2 linked regions of the Sus scrofa genome follow. The protein of the gene in region 1 interacts with the protein of each later gene in a pairwise test. Links are inferred from orthologs where the notes say so. Each region holds a gene or a part of one and is shown on either strand. Other genes may lie near its edges.

What was found.
Region 2: the proteins of CCDC172 (region 1) and FAM13C interact in binary tests that used the Homo sapiens proteins (3 or more experiments, as listed by UniProt). The two-hybrid records come from large-scale screens. The link is inferred for Sus scrofa from reciprocal best matches to the Homo sapiens genes CCDC172 and FAM13C.

The regions. Positions count from the first base shown.
Region 1 is NC_010456.5:126,597,469-126,601,293, reverse strand, and holds part of CCDC172 (coiled-coil domain-containing protein 172), read right to left. Parts: intron 3,680-3,825; coding exon 3,578-3,679; intron 2,914-3,577; coding exon 2,811-2,913; intron 1-2,810.
Region 2 is NC_010456.5:62,642,541-62,646,365, forward strand, and holds part of FAM13C (protein FAM13C), read right to left. Parts: intron 3,452-3,825; coding exon 3,241-3,451; intron 1,794-3,240; coding exon 1,655-1,793; intron 1-1,654.

The sequences.
Region 1 (3,825 bases):
CTCTGCCTTTAAAGGATGGGCAGAGAGAAAATAAGAAAGAAGCTTGAGAGGCATGAAATTCACACAAGTAATATGAAATAAAAATGAAATCATAAGTAATTACACAATTAAATTATGTCTAACAATTATAAAGATTTTACTGTGTACCAAGGACTATTAAAAGGGCTTTATATATATATATATTAAGTCATTTAATTTTTACTATAATCTTGTGAGGTAGGTGCCATCATTAACCTCATTTTATAGATGTAGAGAATGAGGCATAGACAAGGTCCCTAACCAGTAAATAGCAGACTGAGATTTAAAGGGGTTTGTAATCTTAAACCTCTATGCTTACCCCTTCTTGATACCCTGAGGTTTATTGTTACTTTCCTCCCTGGAATATGTGAAAAAACTAGCTCAGTCAGTTTTACAACCCTCAGAAAGCCTTCTTTGATATTAACCCAACCTCTGGCGTAGGTGTTAATCATAGCAATATTTTATAAGTTAGGTCTTTTAACATGCATTAATTAATGATCCCACAATTTTCACAATAGAATCTTTTAAATGAACAAACATCTTGTAATTTATAAACAGGGAAAGATTCCCTAAAGCAGAGACCATTAAATCACTGTGAGCATAAAGAACTGGTTCTTGGCATTAATGGATGGCATCGAAATAGAGTCCAACAAAAAACCTATACATGGAAGATTAACTTTAAAAAATATAATCATTATAAAAGAATTTCACAGAATTCCCATTGTGGCTCAGTGGTTAACGAATCCGACTAAGAACCACGAGGTTGTGGGTTCGATCCCTGGTCTTGCTCAATGGGTTAAGGATCTGGCCTTGCTGTGAGCTGTGGTGTAGGTCGCAGACGCGGCTCAGATCCCGCATTGCTGTGGCTCTGGCATAGGCCGGTGGCTATAGCTCGGATTCGATCCCTAGCCTGGGAACCTCCATATGCTGCGGAAGCGGCCCAAGAAATGGCAAAAAGTCAAGGACACAGGAAGAACCACACAGAGATGAAGTAATATTAACTTTTTATAATTGCTTTCTTAGTGGTTAAAGTTTAATAAAAGTAGAAGTATAATTATAATAACCATAAAATAAAACTGGTTCTGAACTAGGGACAATTTTGCGCACCCACATCTGCTCAGGGGACATTCAGCAATGTCTGGAGACATTTTTGGTTGTCACAGCTGGGCGTGGGTGATGCTACTGGCATCTAGCGGGTAGAGGCCAGGAATGCACATCTTACACTCCTAGGACAACCCTCCCACAATAAAGAATAAACTGGCCAAAATCCCAACAGTGCCAAGTTTAAGAAACCCTGCTATAGAAGTAGCATCTATACCAACAGTAGTTAACTATGAAAATTTAAGTAAAAGGCAATTATTTAGAATTAGGTATACATTTGAACACACAGATGAAAAAGATTATTCTATTCCAGAGTTTAGGGATAAGTTTTGGTTTTAATGCTGCTGAATAATGTCGTATCATTTCTCACTATCATTAGCTCCTTGTCATTGCACTAATTATATGACTAATGGCGCGCTTCTCTAAAGTCTTTACACTTAGTGCTTTGACTCTGCTCTTCACATGTGAAATAACTTTTATGAACATACCAGAAAGGAAACTAAGCTACACATATTAAAGAACTGAAAATGGGAATTGATAAATGTTGGCATTTTCTTTAATAACTGCTAAATGCAAAGAATGGACTAGGTGTATAGATTGATGTTTCTTCCTGTACAAATTTCCTCTGTCACCATCTGTGAAGGAAAAGCTCTCTCTAACAGACTTTGTGTATTTAATTTTAACCCAGGGCAAATTTTTATGCCTCAGTGATAAGCCCACAAAACTGGAGTTCATATTGGCAGCCCTTACACTACTAACTAAAATGATACCAGTGGGCATTACCATTTCTAAAAGTCTAAAAAAATCAACGAGCAGATTGTCATTATAGAAACTCATTCTGCATCAAACCTATCACCCAAGAGATTGATATTTCATGCTTATAAAACTTAACATAAAATTAAATTGCAAATATTTTCTCACAATCTACAAATTTATGGCCTAAGGCAATACACTGCTAATATGAAGCATTTGTTCAGCTCTAGTGGACATATTTCCTATATGATTTATTGAAAGGAAGCTTCATTTGCCTCTTCATGGATTTGGTAATGAGGTTTCTGTTTCTTACATTAAGCCTAGAAATTATAGAAAGTTCTTTAAAATTAAGCTAGCAAATATAACACTGAATTATTGATAAATAACTGTGAAATCAAAAAACAGGGGGTTCTCCTTCTGTATATGACTATCATTTGACACCTTGGCCATTCATTCATTATCAAATACAAAAAAGCATCTAAATATTTCATACAGAAAATTCATTTTCATTCTTTAGGCACAAAACCAGAGTGACAGATTTCAAATAAAGTAGTAGACTGTGATTTTGCCCCTGAAATTTAAAAGGATAAAAAATAATTTCAATCATTCCACCCCAAAAGTTAGGAATAACAGAAAGAGACTTTTGGAAACAAAGCTTTGTCTTAATCTTTTAGGATGTGAGAAAATTCAAGAGTCCATGAGATATATGAAAAGATAAAATTGATTTCAGTGTTATCAACCTGATGCATTTATGTGTAGCACTTTCTAGTCTGTGAAGTGTTTGTATATTACCATGTTTCAGAATACACATAGAAGGAAATTAATGTCTTCACCTGGAACTTAAATAAAAACTCTGGATTTAACTTTATGCTGAAATCTACTTGACAACTTGAAAATTTATGAATTTTTTTTAACCAAAAGATGCTAAGCATTCTTACCTTAAGCATTCAGCATCATTCTGAGGTTTTTCAGTGATTTTTATTTTTTCTGCTTCTAAATTTTTGGTAGTACGAACAGCTTCATTTTTTTTATCTTCAAAATCTAAACAATTAAGAAAATTACTACAATCTTTGAAAAATTAAACATAAGGTTATCTTTATTCAATAATAAGAATAATACTCTGATTTGTGGTGCTTCATGTAAAATAAGTGTAACAATGATTTCTATTTTTCTACTTTAATACAGCAATTAAAGGCACAAAAAAGATCTTAACAAAATCTGTGACATTAAAAATACCAGGGAGTTCCCGTCGTGGCGCAGTGGTTAACGAATCCGACTAGGAACCATGAGGTTGCAGGTTCGGTCCCTGCCCTTGCTCAGTGGGTTAACGATCCGGCGTTGCCGTGAGCTGTGGTGTAGGTTGCAGACGCGGCTCGGATCCCGCGTTGCTGTGGCTCTGGCGTAGGCCGGTGGCTACAGCTCCGATTCAACCCCTAGCCTGGGAACCTCCATATGCCGCGGGAGCGGCCCAAGAAATAGCAACAACAACAAAAAGACAAAAAAATAAAAAAAAAATTAAAAAAAACAAATACAAAAAAAATACCAGACCTAACTCTGATCAATTCAGTGTTTCACCTATTCCTTTTTTACATCAATAACAGTACTATATTCCAATAGGTTAATACATTTTAAAACAATAATACAACCTGTAATCGGTACATATTTATATTTATCAGAAAAATAAACTAAATCATAAAGGTAATACCTTCGAGCTTTCTCTGCAAAGTAAATAATTCTTGTATTAATTCACTCTTTTGTTTTTGAAGTTCATTTAATTGGTCACTATCATGTTCCACTGATTTCATTTCTAGAAATGAATAGACAAAAAACATTTTGACTATTTAGGCTCTGCCTTATATATCTCAGTAATGATTAACTTTTTCTTGTTTAGTAAAAATTTAAGCAGTATATGGTCGATTTTAAGCCCCAACAGGCTTCCCTTGGTCACATAAG
Region 2 (3,825 bases), about 64 Mb from region 1:
TTCAAACCTAGATAAGCCTGATTCAAGAGCTGTCAGGTAAGACATATTAACAGGCCCTGGGGAGGAAGCCCCTAACTATTACTCTGTAGCTTCCAATAGGAGGGCATCCCTGATCCAGTAACACTCCAGCAGCAAACAAAGAAAATCAGCCTCCCTCAGGATATTTGCAGCTTTCAAAATGTGGGCACTTAATTAATTTTACCTCTATTTCTCCACTGCAGAACCTACTTTTTTTTTGTCTTTTTAGGGCTGCACCTGCATCATATGGAGGTTCCCAGGCTAGGGGTCAAATCAGAACTGCAGTTTCAGTCTATGCCACAGCCACAGGAACACAGGATCCTTAACCTACTGATCAAGGCCAGGGATTGAACCTGCATCCTCAAGAATACTATGTAGGGTTCTTAACCTGCTGAGCCACAAAAGGAAATCCACAAAACCTACCCATCTTTAACATGAACCCATAGCCTTAGCTGACACAACACAACTACCTTAAGAAAGTTATACATCTTTGGTGGACCTCTGTTTCTTCATCTGTACTATAAAGGCCGATCCTCATAATATGCGGAATGCCCTCTTGCTTTTAAAGACAGAAAGGAGCTGTGATTGACCTCAAGGAAGAGAAGGATCTTCAATGCCCTAAGGTTGTCTGGGAAGCCAATCTAATTTTTTTTTACATTTTTGCAAAGCTGAAAAACCACTCCTTGAAATTCCTCTTTTAGTGAAATTGAAGCCACTGTGGGAAAAACAGAACAGGAAGAACAGGAGAGTGGAATGTTACCCACTCTCTCCTCCCTCCCTAGAACCTATTCACACTACAGGGACCTGCAGATTGCCTCTGCACCAAGTGCTTAGTGAGCCTTTAATTATTTCAAGATCTATGAGACATTATTCCCTGTTCTTTTATTCTCATAACAAACTGTTCTGGGCCCTCTGCCAAAGAGCCAATATCTTTGTGCAATTCTACATGGATATAATTTTTCTCTATGCCATGGTCACCATTAAATAAAATCAATAAAACTAGCATTTGCCATCAGTACACTTGCCTCTGACTCTATTGTCTCTTATGTAAGAAAAGAAAAGCAACACTACAGCCCCAACATGAAGCCCAGTATTTCTCTGATTGGAAAGGGTGGATCAGGGTTTGTTCTTATGAGTGGTGTGAATAGACATCCCTTGATATGTCCTCATCAATCAACCAAAAAGTATTTTATTGTCAAAGAAAACTCTCTCTCCTTCGCTCTGTTCCACAATTAAGAGATTCTGCCTTTTGGGTCCTTAATAGGCTCTTATCAAAATGCAAATGTTAAAAAAAGTAAGAGCTCATTCAAAAGCTTCCCAAATTTCAGTCCTAGGAGTACTAGTGATAGGTTCCTCAGAGAAGAAAAAAGAAAGAAAGAAAGAAAGAAAGGATCAATAATCACATAGCCTGGAAATAAGAGTTAGAATTTGTTACTAGAAAGCACCTTAGCAGAGATCAGTTCACAGCACATGAGAACAAGACAGATTCAGGATGGACACTCAAGTTATGATAGGTCCTTCATTGGCCAATGGAAACTTAGCCATCCCCTAGCACAGAGAAGTGCTCAAAAAGGAAGGACAGAAAGCCCATACACCTCTGCCATAATCCACTCATTTCAAACCACAGGGTCCTTACCCGGTATTTCTTTTCTTGTTCAAATTTTTCTTCAAATTTCCGAATTTTCCGCTTGAGGCTCTGGATATGTTTGGTGAGCTGAGTAATGGTCGGTGGTTCCTTGCCTTCACCACAGCCACACCGTGAAGAACTTCGGGGCCTGTGATGATTATAGGGAGGGAAAGAATCACCAAAAATGTTGATCTTGAGGAGCTGTTATATAGCACAAAGAACTCTACCCAAAGTTCTGTGATCATCTAAGTGGGAAAAGAATCTGAAAGACAATGGAATTGTGTATCTGTATGACTGAATCACTTGATTGTACAGCAGAAATGATTACAATCTTATAAATCAACTATCCTTCAATAAAACTTTTAAAAATGAAAAACAGAACAAACAAAAAAAACGGTCTTCCAGTAAACCCTGCTGCTGGTCCACAAAGCCAGCTTCCTGGATTAACAGCGAGGTCCAGAGGCCAGGTCACTATTTGATGAGTAGCATCCACTCATTAATGGAAGCTCCTGATCAGAGAACAGGAAAATGTTATCAGGGACTTTTCAGTCTACAGACGTCAGAATATTAGCCTAGGAAATGCATTTCCTCAAGCTTGGAGACACTTTCAAGGAAGTTTTAGATGAGTAGTTAACTTTTCTTGTAACAGAGCCTTTGTGAATCTGCTGAAAGGAATGGACCCCCTTGCCAGAAAAATGTGTTCACTTTCTCAGAGGACAGACTTTACAGGAGTTATAACTCACTCACTCCCTCAGGTCCATCAGTAGACAGTCCATGGACCCAGGACTGCATAAATTCACAAATAATACCAGGAGGTATTCAGGAGAAACTAGAAATTCCTTGCACATATTTCCAGTTGAAGGAGACTCATTTTAGCTATGCATCAAAACTACATGTCAAATAAATAAATAAATAAAATTCTAAAAAGGAGTTCCCTTGCAGTGCAGCAGGTTAAGGATCCAGCATTGTCACTGCTGTGGCATGGGTCGCTGCTGTGTTGCAGGTTTGATCCCTGACCTGGGAACTTCTACTTGCCACAAGTGAAGAAAAGAAAAGAAAGAACTACTTGTGGAACTTAAAAAACAAGAAAACAGTTTCACAATATGTGTGTGTGTAGGAGCTATAAGAGCTACCACTTTTCTAGAATCTAAGAAGAAACTGAGACAAGACAACTTCCAAGCATTGCTACGATCCAGCCATCAAGGCCACCATTGGACATGGAAAGACATGAGCACATCAAGAATAATAATGAGTAGTCACTAAGACTACTTAGTGAGCACATCAAGAATGATATTCCTGATAGTTGCATGTACATCCATTTTCCTAGGATTCTGCTCATTTCACCAAAAATGTTCAAATACATGAGCCTGTTATCTTGAGACCATTTCCTCCTGAGACAGAAAGGCTTGAAGCAGCATTCTCAACTAGAAAACACACTCTTTTTTCTTTTTTTTTTCCATTCATTGTTCAGGGCTGCATGTGCATTCGGTAGGCACATTTGCTCTATTTTGGATATACCCTTCACTCTGGCTTATAAACGTAGTATTTGAAAAATGGCACAAAACAAAGATAAATACAGAACAAGGTTTCCTTACATCATAAACTGCTGAGTGCTGGGGGGAGAAGGGGCTGATTCAGGGTCTAAATTGAATCTCTGGCTTTGGCTGAAGATGGCGCATCGCGGTGACAGCAGTGGGTTGTCACCATCCGTGATGTGGTAGAGCAGCCTGCTAGTCTCAACAGACTGGAGGTCTTCAGGCGCACTGTCAACTTCATTCTGCCCATCTTTGTGGCCTGGCACAGAATCTGAGGAAACAAGATAAATCATCAAGACTCAGCAGAGACAGAGGGCTTGAGACTGTCATGTTCCTAAAAAAGATCATAAACATTCATTACAATGTCTTGCCTTTTTGTCATTTCTTCCTTCTGGGGATATGAAAGCCTTTCAAAATACTGTCATGTTTGTTCTCACAGAACCTGGATAGAAAATATGATAAAGCCAACACACACACACACACACACACACACACACACACACACACAAAATGGAAACACAAATTAATTCGGTATGAGTTATAGCATCAGCATAGACACAACTACAAAAATACTTTCTTTATTTCATACTATTTCCATAAGCTAAAGTGTATATTACAAGATGTTAGTGCGGCAGAAAGAAAACA